Elephas maximus indicus: one gene and its partner. The protein of the gene in region 1 interacts with the protein of each later gene in a pairwise test. Links are inferred from orthologs where the notes say so. Each region holds a gene or a part of one and is shown in the gene's direction. Other genes may lie near its edges.

Region 1 (10,342 bases):
AGTACTAGTGCAAGAAACTAAAAGGGACCTACGTAAGTGGAAAAACATACCTTGCTCATGGATAGGAAGACTTAACATAGCAAAAATGTCTATTCTACCAAAAGCCATCTATATGTACAATCCACTTCCGATCCAAATTCCAACGACATTTTTTAATGTGATGGAGAAACAAATCACCAACTTCATATGGAAGGGAAAGAAGCCTCAGGTAAGTAAAGCATTACTGAAAAAGAAGAAGAAAGTGGGAGGCCTCACTCTACCTGATTTTAGAACCTATTATACAGCCACAGTAGTCAAAACAGCCTGGTACTGGTACAACAACAGGCACATAGACCAACGGAACAGAATTGAGAACCCAGATATAAATCCATCCACATATGAGCAGCCAATATTTGACAAAGGCCCAGTGACAGTTAAATGGGGAAAAGATAGTCTTTTTAACAAATGTTGCTGGCATAACAGGATATCCATTTGCAAAAAAATGAAACAGGACCCATACCTCACACCATGCACAAAAACTAACTCCAAGTGGATCAAAGACCTAAACATAAAGACTAAAACGATAAAGATCATGGAAGAAAAAATAGGGACAACGTTAGGAGCACTAATACAAGGCATAAACAGAATACAAAACATTACGAAAAATGACGAAGAGAAACCAGATAACTGGGAGCTCCTAAAAATCAAACACCTATGCTCATCTAAAGACTTCACCAAAAGAGTAAAAAGACCACCTACAGACTGGGAAAGAATTTTCAGCTATGACATCTCCAACCAGCGCCTGATCTCTAAAATCTATATGATTCTGTCAAAACTCAACCACAAAAAGACAACCCAATCAAGAAATGGGCAAACGATATGAACACACACTTCACTAAAGAAGATATTCAGGCAGCTAACAGATACATGAGAAAATGCTCTCAATCATTAGCCATTAGAGAAATGCAAATTAAAACTACAATGAGATTCCATCTCACTCCAACAAGGCTGGCATTAATCCAAAAAACACAAAATAATAAATGTTGGAGAGGCTGCGGAGAGATGGGAACTCTTATACACTGCTGGTGAGAATGTAAAATGGTACAACCACTTTGGAAATCTATCTGGCGTTTTCTTAAAAAGTTAGAAATAGAACTATCATACAACCCAGAAATCCCACTCCTCGGAATATACCCTAGAGAAATAAGAGCCTTCACACAAACAGATATATGCACACCCATGTTTATTGCAGCTCTGTTTACAACAGCAAAAAGCTGGAAGCAACCAAGGTGTCCATCAATGGATGAATGTTTAAATAAATTGTGGTATATTCACACAATGGAATACTATGCATCGATAAAGAACAGTGATGAATCTGTGAAACATTTCATAACATGGAGGAACCTGGAAGGCATTATGCTGAGCGAAATTAGTCAGAGGCAAAAGGACAAATATTGTATAAGACCACTATTCTAAGATCTTGAGAAATAGTATAAACTGAGAAGAACACATACTTTTGTGGTTATGAGGCGGGGAGGGAGGGAGGGAGGGTGGGAGAGGGTTTTTTACTGATTAATTAGTAGATAAGAACTGCTTCAGGTGAAGGGAAGGACAATACTCAATACAGGGAAGGTCAGCTCAACTGGACTGGACCCAAAGCAAAGAAGTTTCCGGGATAAACTGAATGCTTTGAAGGTCAGTGGAGCAAGGGCAGGGGTTTGGGGACCATGGTTTGAGGGGACTTCTAAGTCAATTGGCAAAATAATTCTATTATGAAAACATTCTGCATCCCACTTTGAAATGTGGTGTCTGGGGTCTTAAATGCTAACAAGCGGCCATCTAAGATGCATCAATTGGTCTCAACCCACCTAGATCAAAGGAGAGTGAAGAACACCAAGGTCACATGATAACTAAGAGCCCAAGAGACAGAAAGGGCCACATGAACCAGAGACCTACATCATCCTGAGACCAGAAGAACTAGTTGGTGCCCGGCCACAATCGATGACTGCCCTGACAGGGAGCACAACAGAGAACCCCTGAGGGAGCAGGAGATCAGTGGGATGCAGACCCCAAATTCTTACAAAAAGACCATACTTAATGGTCTGACTGAGACTAGAGGAATCCTGGCAGTCATGGTCCCCAAACCTTCTGTTGGCCCAGGACAGTAACCATTCCCAAACACAACTCATCAGGCATGAAAGGGACTGGACAGTGGGTAGGAGAGAGATGCTGATGAAGAGTGAGCTAATTATATCAGGTGGACACTTGAGACTCTGTTGGCATCTCCTGTCTGCAGCGGGGAGGGGAGGATAGAGAGAGTTGGAAGCTGGCAAAATTGTCACGAAAGGAGAGACTGGAGGGGCTGACTCATTGGGGGAGAGCAAGTGGGAGTACGGAGTAAGATGTATATAAACTTATATGTGACAGTCTGACTTGATTTGTAAATGTTCACTTGAAGCTCAATAAAAGTTAATAAAAAAAAAAAAAAAAGACAAACAACCCAATCAAAAAGTGGGCAAAGGATATGAACACGCACTTCACTAAAGAAGATATTCAGGCAGCTAACAGATACATGAGAAAATGCTCTCGATCATTAGCCATTAGAGAAATGCAAATTAAAACTATGATGAGATTCCATCTCACTCCAATAAGGCTGGCATTAATCCAAAAAACACAAAATAATAAATGTTGGAGAGGCTGCGGAGAGATGGGAACTCTTATACACTGCTGGTGGGAATGTAAAATGGTACAACCACTTTGGAAATCTATCTGGCGTTTTCTTAAAAAGTTAGAAATAGAACTACCACACAACCCAGAAATCCCACTCCTCGGAATATACCCTAGAGAAATAAGAGCCTTTACACGAACAGATATATGCACACCCATGTTTACTGCAGCACTGTTTACAATAGCAAAAAGCTGGAAGCAACCAAGGTGTCCATCAACGGATGAATGGATAAATAAATTATGGTATATTCACACAATGGAATACTAGCCAAACCCACTGCCATCGAGTCGATTCTGACTCAATGAAATACTACGCATCGATAAAGAACAGTGATGAATCTGCGAAACATTTCATAACATGGAGGAACCTGGAAGGCATTATGCTGAGTGAAATTAGTCAGATGCAAAAGGACAAATATTGTATAAGATCTTGAGAAATAGTTTAAACTGAGAAGAACACATTCTTTTGTGGTTAGGAGATGGGGGAGGGAGGGAGGGTGGGAGAGGGTTATTTACTGATTAGATAGTAGATAAGAACTACTTTAGGTAAAGGGAAGGACAACACTCAATACAGGGAAGGTCAGCTCAACTGGACTGGACCAAAAGCAAAGAAGTTTCCGGGATAAACTGAATGCTTTGAAGGTCAGCAGAGCAAGGGTGGGGGTTTGGGGACTATGGCTTCAGGAGACATGTAAGTCAATTGGCAAAATAAATTCTATTAAGAAAACATTCTGCATCCCACTTTGAACTGTGGTGTCTGGGGTCTTAAATACTAACAAGCGGCCATCTAAGATGCATCAATTGGTCTCAACCCACCTGGATCAAAGGAGAATGAAGAACACCAAGGTCACAAGATCATTACGACCCCAAGAGACAGAAAGGGCCACATGAACTAGAGACTTACATCATCCTGAGACCAGAAGAACTAGATGGTGCCCGGCCACAACCGATGACTGCCCTGACAGGGAGCACAACAGAGAACCCCTGAGAGAGCAGGAGGTCAGTGGGATGCAGACCCCAAATTCTCATAAAAAGACCAGACTTGATGGTCTGACTGAGACTAGAGGAATCCCGGCAGTCATGGTCCCCAAACCTTCTGTTGGCCCAGGACAGTAACCATTCCCAAAGACAGCTCATCAGACATGGAATGGTCTCGACAATGGGTTGGAGAGAGATGCTGATGAGGAGTGAGCTACTTGTATCAGGGGGACACTTGAGACTATGTTGGCATCTCCTGTCTGGAGGGGAGATAGGAGGGTAGAGGGGGTTAGAAACTGGCAAAACGGTCATGAAAGGAGAGACTGGAAGGAGGGAGTGGGCTGACTCAATGGGAGTATGTAGTACGGTGTATATAACTTTATCTGTGAGAGACTGACTTGATTTGTAAACTTTCACTTAAAGCACAATAAAAAATAAAAATAAAAAAAAAAGTGGCTGCCGCAGGATATGGACAAGAAAGCCAGAAATTCAAGTGGGATTCAGAAGAGGATGTAGAACAAGGGATTACTAATGTCAGACGGATCCTGGCTGAAGGCAGAGAATACCAGAAAGATGTTTACCTGTGTTTTATTGACTACGCAAAGGTATTCAACTCTGTGGACCATAACAAATTACGGATAACATTGAGAAGAATGGGAATTCCAGAACACTTAATTGTGCTCATGAGGAACCTGGACATAGATCAAGAGGCAGTTCAAACCAGAACAGGGGAATACTGCCTGGTTTAAGGTAAGGAAATGTGTGTGTCAGGGTTGTATCCTTTCACCATACTATTCAATCTGTATGCTGAGCAAATAATTCAAGAAGCTGGACTACAAGAAGAAGAAAGGGGCATCAATATTGGAGGAAGACTCATTAACAACCTGCACTAAGCAGACGACACAACCTTACTTGCTGAAAGTGAAGAGGACTTGAAGCACTTATTGATGAAGATCAAAGACCACAGCCTTCATTATGGATTACACTTTAACATAAAGGAAACAAAAATCCTCACTGTTGGACCAATAAGCAACATCATGATAAATGGAGAAAAGATTGAAGTTGTCAAGGATTTTATTTTATTTGGATCCACGATCAACACCCATAGAAGCAGCAGTTGTTGAACAATCAAAAAAAATGCATTGCATTGGGCAAATCTGCCCCAAAAGACCTCTTTAAAGTGTTGAAAAGCAGAGATGTCACCTTGAAGACTAAGGTGCGCCTGACCCAAGCCATGGTGTTTCAACTACCTTATATGCATTCAAAAGCTGGACAATGAATAAGGAAGACTGAAGAATTGACACCTTTGAATTGTGATGTTGGCGGAGAATACTGAGTATATAATGGACTGCTAAAAAAAAAAAAATCTGTCTTGGAAGAGGCACAACCAGAATGCTCCTTGGAAGCAAGGATGCCGAGACTGCGTCTCACATACTTTGGACATGTTATCAGGAGGGATCAGTTCCCGGAGAAGGACATCATGTTTGGGTAAGTACAGGGTCATCGAAAAAGAGGAGGACCCTCAATGAGATGGATTGACACAGTGGCTGCAAAAATGGGCTCAACCATAAGAAGGATTGTGAAAATGGCGCAGGACCAGGCAGTGTTCGGTTCTGTTGTACATAGGGGTCGCTATGAGTCGAAACGGACTGGACGGCACCTAACAACAACTTGGAGAAGTGGTTAAGAGGTTGGCTGCTAACCAAAAGATCAGCAGTTCGAATCCACCAGCCGCCCCTTGGAAACCCTAGGGGCAGTTATACTCTGCCGTAGAGGTTCGCTGTGAGTTGGAATCAACCCCGCCCTGGCGGCATAGTGTTTTAGAGCTCGGCTGCCAACCAAAAGGTGGGCAGTTCGACCAGTAGCTCCTTGGTAGCCTGATTGGGCAGTTCTACCCTGTCATATAGAGTCACTTTGAGTTGGAATCACTCGCAGCAACGGGTTTGATTTTGGGGGGGGGGGTGGGTTTAGAGTCTGAGAATGACCGCGTTATACAGTGTCATTGCACTGTCCGCGGGGGAGTACAGGACACCTGCTTCTACCATTAGAGCTCCTATAACGCCCACTTCCAGTAGCCTGTTTCCCGACCCTGACTCCCACACGCCTAGCTTCTGAACATAGAACTTCCGGAACGCTCGAAGGACACCCGCCGTCGCCGTATTTGGACTACATTTCCCAAGGTGCTTTGCGAGTGACCCTGCCATCATGGCGTCCATCGCACCAGACACGATCAGGACTACAACTCCCACGATGCTTAGCGACAGAACTCCTGCCCCCCGCGGCTCCGGAGCCTCGCCACGTCCGCTCCGCTGGGTGAGGCCGGGCTCGGGACGGGCGGACAGCGTCTACCGGGCCCGGAGCTCGTTACAGCGGTTCTACCCCTAACCGCGCAGACATGGCGGCGGAGAAGGACCAGCAGAAGGATGCTCAGGGAGAAGGGCTGAGCGCCACGTGAGCGATCCGGTTTAGCCCCCTAACCCAGGACTCAGGAGTGAGGGTCCCCAACTTCCCCCTCCCTCGGGTCCCAGGAGTCCAGGTCCCAGCCCTCCTTCTCTCAGACACGGGAGCCTAGACCCCGGGTCCCCTTCTTTTCTAGGACTCTGGAGTTTGGGCCTCCTTTGGGGTCCGGGATTTGGGCCCCCTCCCGAGCCCCCCCGCCCAGAACCCGGGAGTCCCGCCCTCTCAGCCTCCTCCTTCGGGGCTCCCGGCCATCCCCGTACACCGCTGACCCAGCCCTGCCCGCCAGGACCCTGCTGCCGAAGCTGATTCCATCCGGCGCGGGCCGTGAGTGGCTGGAGCGGCGCCGCGCGACCATCCGGCCCTGGGGCCCCTTCGTAGATCAGCGGCGCTTCTCGCGGCCCCGCAACCTGGGCGAGCTGTGCCAGCGCCTCGTTCGCAATGTGGAGCACTACCAGAGCAACTACGTGTTCGTGTTCCTGGGCCTCATCCTGTACTGCGTGTGAGTGCCTCCGGGGACGGGACGCCGCCCTTGCCTCGCGGGCCCGGCATCGCCCCTCCAGGTGGCCCTGCTTGGTCGATCCCGCTCTTCTCTGGCCGCCTCCCGCCCCCCACTGGCCACGCCCCACCTCTGTGGGGCAGCCCGGCCAGACCTTATTCCCAGAGGCCCAGACCCCTACTTCCTTATCGGCTTGGCCAGGACAGTGTGACCAGAGGTGACCCGTCTTTGCGTACCGTCAAGGAACCATTCTGCCATCTCCCAGTGTAGAAGGATCAGGGCCCCTGGCTGGACAAGCCCAGCTGCCTGACCCCTGTCTCCCCGCACTTCTCTCCAGGGTGACATCCCCCATGCTGTTGGTAGCTCTGGCCGTCTTCTTTGGTGCCTGTTACATCCTCTATCAGCGCACGTTGCAGTCCAAGCTCGTGCTCTTTGGTGAGAAGCCCCCTGCCTAGACGGAGCCCCGGCCCTCTAGTCCTGTCTCTTGGAACTTGAGCATCAGACCCCCAAATCCAAGCCTTTCTGAACCTAAGTCCGCCCGGGGCCTAGATCTATACTTAAAAAAAAAAAAAAAAAAACCTGTTCTGGTCTTTTCCAACTCAGAGCGACCCTACAGGACTGAGCAGAACCTCCCCATAGGGTTTCCAAGGAGGGCCTGGTGGATTCCGACTGCTGACATTTTGGTTAGCAGTGGAACTCTACGCCACCAGGGTTTCCACTATACTATGTCCCTCAAGCCTGATGGCTTAAGATCCCGGACATCCCAGATGCTCCCACCCATCTCAGCCCCCTAAACTGCAAAATGAGATACCCCAGAACTCATTCTCCACCTGGCTTCTCCTGTCCCTGAAATCTCCCCTCCCTACACCCTCCTCTAGCCTGTCTGCTGGAAAGCATCAACTGCAGGTACCCACATTGGCCACAAGGTGGCAGCCGTACATGGCCTAGATCTTGCGCCCTTCGCTTTCCTCCTTCCTGCGGTGGAAGCTGGAAGTTAGGATTTCTGAGAGAGGGAAACTGAGGCCTGTGGCTTTTGTAGAATACCTCGTGTGGTCCCAGCCTGGTACCATGCACCTTTGGGATGACAAGGGGGGCCTGGGTCCCCACCCAGGGGAAGCTCAAAGTTTGGAGTGGAGCCAGAGGGGAGTTGGGATCAGACAATCAGAAAGCTCTAAGACAAAGTTGTTCATGGGGCTCCAATTGAAATTCTTTCAGAAGCCTACAAGTCACATACCTGACAAAAGTGGACTGGGGGAGGGACATGCTGGGCAACCCAGGGTGCATCTAAGACAGAGCTACAACTTGGCTTCAGCTGACTGGTGTCACCAGAGAATGCAGGCCAGTGTGACCCAACCTTCCAGTCTTCCATGAGAAGCCAGAAGTCTGTTTTTCTGGGAAACCATTCAGTTCACTTGCCAGCCACAAATCAAATTCTTGTGAAACACTGTGCAAACTCAAAAAAAAAAACAACACACATCTGCTGGTCAGACTTGGTCTGTGGGCCACCACTTGGAGACCCCTGGTCTACATGAATGCAGGCTGGAGTAGCAGAGGCCTAGTCTGGAGCAGCAGAAGCGGGGTTGAAGGGCAGGGGCCTGAGGAGAGTGCTGTGTTCTGGAAGACAGTGGGGACCTGGGAGAAAGAAGTTGGGGCCAGGGCTCAGAGGGGCTTGGTTTGAGTTTAGATTTGATCTTGAGGGTCGTGGAGCTTGTGATACCAGTTGCGTGGTGGGGGGGGTACTCTGAGAGAGGGCATGGAGTGTTGGAAAAGCTGCCCAATGCGTCTGTCCCCCAGGCCGAGAGGTGAGCCCAGCCCATCAGTACGCTCTGGCTGGAGGCGTCTCCTTCCCTTTCTTCTGGCTGGCTGGTGCAGGCTCGGCTGTCTTCTGGGTTCTGGGTGAGTACAGGGTCTGGGTGGCGGGTGGGCAGTGCAGGCCAGGTGAGGAAGCGTGGCCCTGAGCTGCCCGTTTCCTGCAGGAGCCACCCTCGTGGTCATCGGCTCCCATGCCGCCTTCCACCAGATCGAGGCAGTGGATGGGGAAGAGCTGCAGATGGAGCCTGTGTGAAGTGGCCTCAAGAACCTGCGGGCCTCCCAGGCCTGCCGCTCTGCCCCGGTTCACCCCCATCCTGCAAGGCTCTCCTGCTGGGGACAAAGCTCCCTCCCACATCACAAGCCCAGGGAGGCCTCCCAGCTTTGGAAATAAAGCTGTTACAGTTGTTGTCCTGCAGACATTGTCCCAGTGTCTTCTGTGGGTCTGTACAGAGTAACGCTGGGCATACTGAGGATCCAAGACAGACAGGGCTCAGGGTGTGGGGGAGACAATAGAAAGATGTACAAGCAAGATATAGGATGTCAGATGGTGACAGGTGCTGAGGAGGAAGAACACATTGGGAAAGGAGAGCGTAGGGGGTCCCCGTGGCCACCCCCAGGTTCGATGATTGTCTGGGAAGACTTCCCGCGATGTGGCTTACAGCTGTACTAAGATGCATTGCAGTGAAAGCACACACCGCAATCACCAGAGGAGACCAGGCACAAGCTTCCAGAGTCTTCTCCCTGGAGTCACACGAGACACGTTTTGCTCCTCCCGCAGAGAATTGTGACAACAAGTGTGAAATGTTGTCTACCAGGGAAGCTCATTAGAGACTCAACCCAGGAATTCATTGGGGGTTGGCCACATAGGCACTCTGCCTACCAGGTACTAATACTCGAGACTCCCTGAAGGAAAGCAGGTGTTCAGCATAAACCATACAATTTGCACAGTTTAGACACAGTGAGCCACTCTTATCGGGCAACAGTGGGAACCCCACCCCTGAAATCCTGTTCCCAGATGCCAGCCAAGAGCCAGCCTTGCAAGCAGGCCTGCCACATAACTTTTCAGCACAGAGAAAGTACTGGAGATGGGCTGCAGGTTTAAGGAGGTGGCCAGAAAAGGCCTCCCTGAGAGACACTGAGCAAAGACCTGAATCGAGGCAAGAAGCAGCTATAGGGTCCTTTGGAAGAAGAGCTTTCTGGGCAGAGGAAGCAGCAGGTGCAAAGGTCAGGAGATAGGTCAAAGGCCGGGAGGCCACGACCGGAGCTGATGAGTAAGATAAAGAGTGGGAGTGAGGTAGAGGGGCCAGATCACATAGCCTGGTGTTCTGTAATCATGTCATACTAGGTACAGTCACAGGTATCTTTGATGGTGGGACACAACACAAAGACACTTGGGGAGGTGAAAGGGAGAGCTCTTTGTAACGTACAGCCCTAAACAGAAGAGGCTACCACGTAGGGCCCCACAGAGAGTTGAATTTGGGGACAGGCTGACAGCAAGCTGGGGATGTAGGAGGTGGCTTAAGTATACCAAGCGAGATGGCATTATCTAGGTTCTGAGGGCTCCCTGTGGATTGGCTCATTTGAAGTGTTGTCCCTGGCTGGTACCTGGTCCCAGGGCCATTAGGACAGGGGCGTAGTGGTCTAGGAGTGTAAGAGATCCTTAAGGGGGAGTGGTTGGGGCATGGGCTAAATCAGCTGCTCCAGAAGGGGAACTGACTGGCCTCCAGCCAGGGCCTCAAAACTGGGTCAAGATGATATTTTAAAAAACATATATATATATATATATTTTTTTTTACACCTCGCAGGCTATGGTGAGGACTTTAGCTTTTACTCTGAGTGAGGTGAAAGTGACACAATTTGATTTTTATTTTATTGTGGTAAAAAAGCAAA
Region 2 (9,507 bases), on another chromosome or scaffold:
CTTGGGGAAAAGGGGTATGCGTTTCCTCATTATTTTATTTTAAAAGCATTTGTTAGTGCCCTACTGTGTGGCAGGACCTGTGGGGACACTGGAGATTCAGCGCTTAATAAGGCCTAGTGGTGCCCCTAAAACGCTCAACTGCTAACCAAAAGGTCGGTGGTTCGAATTCACCAGCAGCTTCTCGGGAGAAAAGACCTGGCAATCTGCTCCTGTAAAGATTACAGCCTAGGAAACCCTATGATCGCTGTGAGTCAGAATCAACTCAGCGGCACATTAACAACAGTGGTGCCCCAGCCTGGGGGAGGCAGACCTGCAAGTCGATTATTCCAAGAGCTAAGAGGAGCTAGCCTGTACTGAGTGTTCTCTCTGTGCTGGGCTCTTTGCAGGCCTTCACTCATTTAATCCTCACAACAACCTCCTGAGGAAGGAACTACTATTATCATTTTACAGACGGGGGAACAGGCTCAGAGGGACTAGGAACTTGTCCAAGGTCACACAGCTAGCAAGTAGAAAAGCCGGGATTCAAACCCAGGCTTATCTGGCCCCAGAGCCTGTATTGTAACTGTTAGTCTAGCTCTTGAACACCAGAATGACAAAGAAGGGATTAGAATCTTGGTTCTGCCCCTGACAAGCTGTGTGACTTTAGGCATGTTGCTTAATCTCTCTGAGCCTGGGTTTCCTCCTCTATAAAGTGGCCAACACAATCCCTATCTCCTGGAACCTTGGGAGGAGTAGATGAGAGGACATTTGTAGGGCCCTAGTGCAGTCCCTGGACCCTAGTGGAGGCTCAGGAGCCTCAGTTGCTGTCCCATTACTAAGGGGCAGTGCTGGCGTGGCGGTGTACAGAGAGCCCAGGCGTCCCAAGGGGGCTGACGGACCTCCCAAGGCCAGGGGAGGCTGCCTTGAGCAGGGCTTTGAGGGAGACACAGATGTCCCTGGGGTTGCAGGTAGGCGGGGCCTGTGGTCACCTAGCCCTCCCGCCCTTCCGCCTTCCCAGGCCCTGGAACTGGACTCCATTCGCAGCCACCACTGGTGCATCCAGGGCTGCAGCGCCTTCACTGGGGAGAACCTGCTGCTGGGCATTGACTGGCTCCTGGATGACATTTCCAGCCGCATCTTCACAGCCGACTGAGCCGCCCTGGACGCCCACCTCCCAGTCCAGACCCTCCCTTCCTGCACCCCAGCCCCGGCCATACACCATCCGTAGGGGGTGGGAGTCAGCCAGCTGGGCTAACACTCCCCGCCCCCTCCACATCCTGCTGCTGCTGCTGCTGCCCACTGCTGCTCCTGGGCCAGTCGGCTCCCGTGATAGGAGGCCTGCTGCCCTGGCTGCTACCCCCACTCCCCACCTGGCTCCCCTGGGGCTGCCACACTAAGAAGGGGACACTGGACCTGGGAGGAAACAGCCTCTGCTGCTACCGAGGCTATGGGCCTCGTCTTTGCTCCGCTGTGAGAATAAATCACTCCTTGCTCCTGGCTGAGTCATCTGTTGGTTGTCTTAGTCTAGTGCTGCTATAACAGAAACACCACAAGAGGATGGTTTTAACAAAGAGGAATTTATTCTCTCACACTCTAGGAAGCTAAAAGTCCAAATTCAGGGTGCCAGCTCCAGGGGAAGGCTTTCTGTCTCTGTGGGCTCTAGAGGAAGGTCCTTGTCATCAACCTTTCCCTGGTTGAGGAGCTTCTCAGCGCAGGGACCCCGGGTTCAGAGGTTGTGCTATTCTCCTGGCTCTTATTTCTTGATGGTATGAGGCCCCCTTGTCTCTCTGCTCACTTCTCTCTCTCTTATATCTCAAAAGAGATGGACTCAATACACAAACTAATCCTGTAGATTGAGTCTTGGGTCGTTAATATAACTGCCTCTTAACCATTATGCCACCGGGGTTTCCAAACTGCCTCTAATCCTTCCTAATTAACGTCACAGAAGTAGGATTTGCAGTACATAGGAAAATCACGTCAGATGACAAAGTGGTGGACAATCACACAATACTAGGAATCATGGCCTAGCCAAATTGACAAAGTGGTGGACAGTCACAATACTAGGAATCATGGCCTAGCCAAGTTGACACATTTTGGGGGGATAGTATTCAATCCATACCTCTGGTCCACCAGCTTCTTAGAGAGCCCCTGAGGGCCCACAGTCCAGCGAGACAGAGGGAGCAGGTGGCCTTTGTCTGAGGGTTAACTGGGCACGGGAGTGAGAAGGTAGAATATGCTCAGAAGCGGCTCCCCGAGAACCACTGGAAGCCAGCGTCTGCCAGAGTCTGGAAGAGCCCTGGACCCTTGCTTGTGCCCCTTGCTGCCCAGCCCGGTTTGCAAAACACCTGTATGCACATATGTGAGGACATACGGTTGACATTTAGTATCCGTTGGAATGTATTCAGCTACAAGTCACAGCAAACTCAATGCAAATGGTTCAGTGATAGGAACATGTACAAACTCATGAGCTGAAAGGTCCCGAGGACATCGTCAAGGACCCGGGTTCTTTCTGTGTTTCAGCCCTGCCCTACGCAGCATCGCTGGCTTGTTCTCAGGGACCCTGCCCTCCCTGGTAGCCTCAGTCTCCAGCTCCTGGTCCTCAGCCAGCAATGTCTAGAGACAATCATGATTTTCCCTGGACTTCCCCTACTGCCTCATCAGCCAGAATTCACGTCACAGCCACCCTGAGCCAATGGCTGGCCAGAGGAATTTGAGTACCATGATTGCTTTAGGTAATTCAAGATTTACTCCCAAATTGGCACTAAGATGCCCAAATCTGGGTTCTGTTAGGATGAAAATAGGCCTTTTCTTTTGCTGTGTTAATGAGGTCATACCACCACTAAAGGGTAGATCTTAAACCTAGGGATTTCTGAGTCATGAGAAGATCAGAATAGACGCAGAGACGCACGTGAGGGTCGTCTACAAGCCAAGGAACATTAAGGAACCAGGGAATGCCTGGGGCCACTGATGCCATAGTATCCATCTTGCACAGAAAACACACGGCAGGGGTTTCTAATTCTGTACATGGAAGGGTCGTCTGTATGTGTTCTAAGACAACATCGTTCTTGGTTGGCCACCCAACTAAAGCCCTGTTTCCAAATAGGATCGCATCCACGGGTACAAGGGCCAGGAATTCAACACATATTTTTGGGGAACACAATTCAGTCCATGACACATCCAACCACAGTAAACTTGGCCGTCCACTGATACCATGAGTCAGCTCAGCTTTCAGGCCTCCCTGGGGACCCTTCGTCAGCAACAGCATTGATTTAAAAAGTGACTTATGCACGGTTAGAGACAAAAGAGAAAATAATAAGAGTACACTCATCACTCAGGAATGTGAACTGTCAAAGGCATACTCATCACCGAAGAGTATGCACTGTGGCATACCCAGCAGGAGCCTAAAAGCAGGCCCCCTGCACTGTGAGCCTTCAGCTTTTCCATCTTCCCTGCCTTCTAAGGAGGACTTCTATGGCTCCCGTTGCTCCTCATGGCAATGGAATTGGTGGAGTTGGAGACCTGGAGAAGGCCAGGGGCCAAATTGATCTAGAGAGGAGAGGGCTTGGAGAAGACTGGGAGAGACAAGAAGGAAAGGGGAGGATGTGGGAGAGGCTGGGCCAGGGAGCAGAGTGGGAGGGAGAGATGGCAGACAGGGAGACTGGAGCCCCTGTTCCTCCCAAGAACTTTGGAGAGCAGGAGGCATGTCTAACGAGGTCTTCTAAGGAGTCCTGGTGTGTACTGTGTGTGTTTTATGCAAGACAGATGAGTCACAGCTTCCTCCTGAATACCTTTTGGGTGGCCTGCCATGTCAGGGCTCCCAAGAATCTGATTCTGGAGCATTTCCTTCTGGAGACCCGTCTTCCAGTGGCCCACACACCTGAGTTCCAGTAACAAGTGTGGCTGTTTCTTGAGCACTTGCCCCACCCTATCACATTTGAGCCTCACAACCACTGGGTGGGTGGTGCTATTTTTTATCAGTCAGGGCCCTGATGGCCAGCCACACACACGGATTCCAGCTGCCATCAGCAGAAAGGACATTTCTTGGAAAGATACTAGGCATTCACAGCATCCCAATGGAGGTCAGATGGCCAGGCTTGGGAAAGAGCGCGCCAGAGGTGGAGCAGCTAGACCTGTGGCCAAAATTGTTCTAGCTGTGCCCTCTGCCCCCCACACGAGATTCAAAGCCTCTGGAGAGAGTGTCCCCACCCCCAGAGGGGCCCCTGGAGCAAGGAAGGAGGAGCTGTCCCCATTGGGTTCTGGGGTAGAAGGCTGGAGAGCTACACATACTAGAGAAGCCCCTGCAAACAGAAACTGGGTGCTGCTGTGCTCACAGGAAGAGGCGGGGGAATGCTGGGCAGGCCAACAAATGACAAAAGGACATGTCCACAACAGTATGTTCTATCATGAGCACCCTCATTCTATTAAGAGAAACTGAGACTCCAGCTGTTAAGAGAAATTCACAGAGCTAGTAAAAGGTGTGACTTCAGAGCCCAGGATGGCATCCTGCTTCTCCAGGGTTGTTTTTGCTTCCCCACCCTTCCAGAAAACGTGAATTAGCGAATCCTGTGGAGGAACCCTGTGGGTGGTGCAAATGGTTACGGTTGGTCTAGCTACCAACCCAAGGTTGAAAGTCTGGGAGTCCACCCAGAGGCACCTTGGAAGAAAGGCCTGGCGATCCACTTTCAAAAAATCAGTCACTGAAAACACTGTGAAGCACAGTTCTCCTTTGACAGGCATGGGGTCACCATAAGGGAATCCACTGGAAGGCAACAGTTTTCTTTTTTTGGGGGGGGGGGGTTGGTAGATGGAAACATGGAAATAATTTGACTATGTTTAACACCATTGGGGAGCCCTGTTGGCACAGTGGTTAAGAGCTCGGCTGCTGACCAAAAAGTCAGCAGCTCAAATCCAGCAGCCGCTCCTTGGAAGCCCTATGGGGCAGTTCTACTCTGTCCTATAGGGTCGCTATGATTTGGAATCGACTCGAAGGCAGGGTTTGGTTTGGTGGTGAACACTGTTGGACGCAATACAGGTTAGTTGGACGAATGGAGGAACGACGAGAACTGGGAAGCTGGGCAGACGTCGTTTGGAGGTCCATGATGAGGGCCTACGCTCAGATAGGATGAGCGATCAGAACCTCCCCAATCCCTACTCTCAAATTACTATGTTTACACTTTACCAACGACCAGGAACTTTTCTGACGCTCCCTTGGCCCTGCGCCCGGGAGAGAGCAGCGCTGTCACTTGCAACCAGCTCCCTGGGCCTGAGGATGAAGGGCGCAGGCCCGGGCCAGGCGGCGGCTGGCGGAGGCAGGCCCGGAGGGGAGGGGGCAGCGTGGAGGAGGCGGAGGACGGCGGTCAGCTCCGCTCAGGTTTTGCTGCCATGTCCCGCCAGCCGAAGGACGACTTCGTGCGGCACTACACGGTCTCCGACCCCCGGACCCACCCCAAGGGCTACACCGAGTACAAAGTAACCGCGCAGGTGAGGTGGGGCCCAGCGGAGACCTTTACCTTTTTAACAAGAGGTGGGCTGTTTTGTACCTTAAGGCAAGACGCTGAAGGAAGCGCCCATTTTGGTCGACCGAAGTGAATTTCCCCTTTAAGGGGAGTCTGCGGAAGGGCCTTCCTTTACTCCTTAACCGTGAGGGGGCGGGGCCGTTGTAGGACTCTGCCACTTTTAAAAGGGCGTGGACGGTATTTCAGGACCCGCGAGGTGTGGGTACCCACGCCCATGTGGTGTGTTGGTATCAGGCTGTAAATTTCTCAAAATTAGCGTGAAAACTCTGGCTTAGCCCAAAGACTAGATAGTTCTCCAGCCTCTTGGTTTGGGTTTTGTTTATTGGTTTGTTTGTTATTTACATAAAAATCTTCTGAAGAGTTTACGTATTTTTATTCTAATAAAAGAATTAACTTATCAGTGGTTTAAAAAACTGTACAGTTCAAAAAGACTTAACAGCCTTCAGCAGTCATAGCGGGATGCCAATAGGTAAAGACTGAAGTTGATATCTGAAGCAGTAATAACATGATAAGATGTTACATAGAGGCGTGGAAGAAATCATGAAAAGAATTTAAAATAGGAACAGTATCACAAAATCTCTAGAATGTTATACAAGGAACTGGTAACAATGCGGGCCTCCGGGGAGAGGAACTAGGTGGCTGGGGGTAGGGTTGGGAAAGACTGCATTGTATATTTTTTGTACATTTCAGAGTTTTGAACCAGGTGACTGTTAAAACTGGCCCATGAGTAACTATTAAAGTGGACCAAAAACAAAGACACTTCCCAAGTAATTCCAGCGCAGAGTCCTACATATTTAAAGTGTGCTTTCCCCAAATCGTTTATACTGTTTTCCCATGCTTAAAAATACAAATAATGGAGATCAGGTGGGAAGGCTGTAGCCAGGAGCTATAACCTTTTCCTATAAGCATTTCTGTTGGATTTTTTTTTTTTTTTAACCAAGTAACGTGTTAGTTTGATATATTTTTATAATTTTTAAAGATAAATAATTTACCCTCCCTTTTTTTTTCTCATCACCCTTCCTCCTCATGGAAGGAACCATCGTTGGAGCTGCTTATTTATCCTTGCAGATGAACTTTACATTTACAAACAAATATATGTATCCACTTTTTATTATTATTTGCACACAATGTCATTCTGCGTCTTGCATTTTTCACCTGCTGGTATTCCTCAATGGTCTTTCGGTTTTGTATTTTTGTTGTCGTTTCACTTTTAAAACTTTTTAAATTAAGATGTAATTTACAGATAGTAATATGCACAAATCTTAAATGTACAACTCAATAAATTTTTACATATGTATACATCTCTGCAGATACCACTCTGATCAAGATATAGAATGTTTCCATCACCCCAGAAACTTTCTTTGCCCCTTTGCAGTCAGTAGCCCCCTTGCCACGGAGGTACCCACCATTCTGACTTCTGTTACCATAGATTAGTTTTGCATGTTCTTGAACCTCATATAGGGGCCCTAGTGGTGCAGTGGTTAAGCCTTTGGCTGCCAACCAAAAAGTTGGCAGTTGGAATCCACCGGCCACTCTTTGGAAACCCTATAGGGCAGTTCTACTCTGTCCTATAGGGTCCTGTGAGTTGGAATCGACTCAACGGCACTGGGTTTGGTTTTGTCTTTGAATCTGATACTGAAAATACTCTTTTGTGTCTGGCTTTTTTCACTCAATACAATGTTTTTGGAATTTGTCCATGTTGTTGCATGTATAAATAGTTTGTTCTTTTTTATTGCTGCATAGTATTCCATTGTGTGAATATTCTACCATTTCTTAATTCATTCTTCTGTTGTTGGACATTTGGGTTGCTTCTAAAATGTTTTTATTTCTTATGAAATAAGAAAAGATTGAAGTTGTCAAGGATTTCATTTTACTTGGATCCACAATCAACAGCCGTGGAAGCAGCAGACAAGAAATCAAAAGATGCTTTGCATTGGGTAAATCTGCTGCAAAGGACCTCTTCAAAGTGTTGAAAAGCAAAGATGTCACGTGGAAGACTAAGGTGCACCTGACCCAAGCCATGGTATTTTCAATCGCATCATATGTATGTGAAAGCTGGACAATGAATAAGGAAGACCAAAGAAGAATTGATGCCTTTGAATTGTGGTGTTGGTGAAGAATATTGAATATACCGTGGACTGCCAGAAAAACAAACAAATCTGTCTTGGAAGAAGTACAACCAGAATGCTCCTTAGAAGCAAGGATGGCGAGACTGCGTCTTACGTACTTTGGAGATGTTGTCAGGAGGGACGAGCCTCTGGAGAAGGATATCATGCTTGGCAAAGTACAGGGTCAGCGGAAAAGAGGAAGACCCTCAACGAGATGGATTGACACAGTGGCTGCAACAATGGGCTCAAGCATAACAACGATTTAAGGATGGCGCAGGACCGGGCAGTGTTTCGTTCTGTTGTGCATGGGGTTGCTATGAGTCGGAACCAACTCGACAGCACCTGACAACAACAACAAAGTTGTATGAACATTCGTATACAAGTCTTTTTGTGAACATACGCACATTTCTTCTTGGTATATACCTAGGAGTGGGGTTACTGGGTCATAGGATAGGCTCAAGCATAACAATGATTGTAAGGATGGCGCAGGATCAGGCAGTTTTTAGTTCTTTTGTGCATAGGGTTGCTATGAGTCGGAACCGACTTGACAGCACCTAACAACAACAACAACAACAACAATGGTACAGACATATGTATAGCTTTATTAGAAATTGCCAGTCTTCCAAAGTGGTTTTGCCTTTTTATGCCCCCATTCTCATCAACACTTGATATTATCAATATCTTTAATTTTACGCATTATTGGTAGGATTGTAGTATCTCATTGGGATATTTGCATTTCTCGATGACTAATGGCGTTGAATATATTTCATAATTCTATAGATGATTCAAACATCTTCTTTTGTGGTAGATGCCTGTTCAAGTATTTTACACATTTTTAAAAGTTGGGTCGTTTGTATTTTTAACATTGATTTATAGGAGTTCTTTCTATATTATGGATGAACCTTTTGTTAAGTATAGGTTCTTCAGTGATCTTTAAATATGGTTTCTTTTACCCAAAATATCTTAGACAGGTCTCTGCTGTAAAAAGCAAAGGCCAAAGTTTTAAACCTGGCAAGTAGGATTAACCTCCTTACTTGGTATGTGGTCTTGTGCAGTTCATGTCCCCTCTCAGAACCTCCTTCTCCTCCTTTTTTCTCTGAGCATGACAATCACGTCTGCCTCACTGGGTTGTAGGATAATGAACAGAAAATGTTTTGGAAACTGCGAAGTGCTCAAAGCTGTACAACATTATTTTTCAATTATTATGAACACAACATAATGAAAGCCAAGTCTTCTTTCTACCCCAGGCCCTACCCCTCCAGGAGTCACCAACCCCAGTAACAGGTCCTTCTGTGTGCACAGTATTTGGGCACAGAACTTCCTTCTTTAAGGAAGTAGTGGCTCCTGACAGAGCTTCATTCTTTAGAGAATTTGGGGTTCTTTGGTTTCCGAAGGAGACCTAGGGACCTGCCCTTTGAAAGAACTGGGACAAAAGTTCCCAGGAGCTAGCTTTGGATGGAGCAGTCTGGACAGGCCTTTAGAGACCTCCCCCCGCCCCCCACACCACCCCACCATGTGACAGAAGAAGAAACTGAAGTGCCTGGTGGAAATGTAGCCAAAGTACACTCAAAGCGTTGAAGCCAAGGCACTGTGATACCAGTGGGCAAAGGGTATTGCCCCTTAGAGGGAAGCTAGGAGGTGTCAGGCATCCTCAGCTTTCACAGGGTCTTGAGGTGTCCGAGGTCAGTCTCTGGTCTCACCTAGTTCTTGCTTTTCTTCCCCAGTTCATCTCAAAGAAGGACCCAGAGGACATCAAAGAGGTGAGGTTCCTGGGAGGAAGGGGGCCCTTCCTTACCTGCAGCTCTGAACCAGTCACGTAGCAGTTGGTAATTCTGGAGGAGACCCAGCCCTCCTTCCTCTCTGCCCTGGGAGGAGGGGGCACAGTGCCCTAGTCCTCATACCCT

What was found. The genes of interacting proteins can lie anywhere in the genome.
Region 2: the proteins of RABAC1 (region 1) and SNX15 interact in binary tests that used the Homo sapiens proteins (3 or more experiments, as listed by UniProt). The two-hybrid records come from large-scale screens. The link is inferred for Elephas maximus indicus from reciprocal best matches to the Homo sapiens genes RABAC1 and SNX15.

What each region holds. Positions count from the first base shown.
Region 1 is NC_064829.1:108,960,056-108,970,397, forward strand, and holds RABAC1 (prenylated Rab acceptor protein 1), read left to right. Parts: upstream 1-5,953; 5' UTR 5,954-6,079; coding exon 6,080-6,135; intron 6,136-6,430; coding exon 6,431-6,643; intron 6,644-6,977; coding exon 6,978-7,075; intron 7,076-8,434; coding exon 8,435-8,536; intron 8,537-8,616; coding exon 8,617-8,705; 3' UTR 8,706-8,867; downstream 8,868-10,342. UniProt on the Homo sapiens protein: General Rab protein regulator required for vesicle formation from the Golgi complex. May control vesicle docking and fusion by mediating the action of Rab GTPases to the SNARE complexes.
Region 2 is NC_064825.1:128,194,302-128,203,808, forward strand, and holds the start of SNX15 (sorting nexin-15), read left to right. Parts: upstream 1-5,240; 5' UTR 5,241-5,361; coding exon 5,362-5,460; intron 5,461-9,327; coding exon 9,328-9,363; intron 9,364-9,507. Other genes in the region: ARL2 (ADP-ribosylation factor-like protein 2), read left to right, coding at 998-1,132. UniProt on the Homo sapiens protein: May be involved in several stages of intracellular trafficking. Overexpression of SNX15 disrupts the normal trafficking of proteins from the plasma membrane to recycling endosomes or the TGN.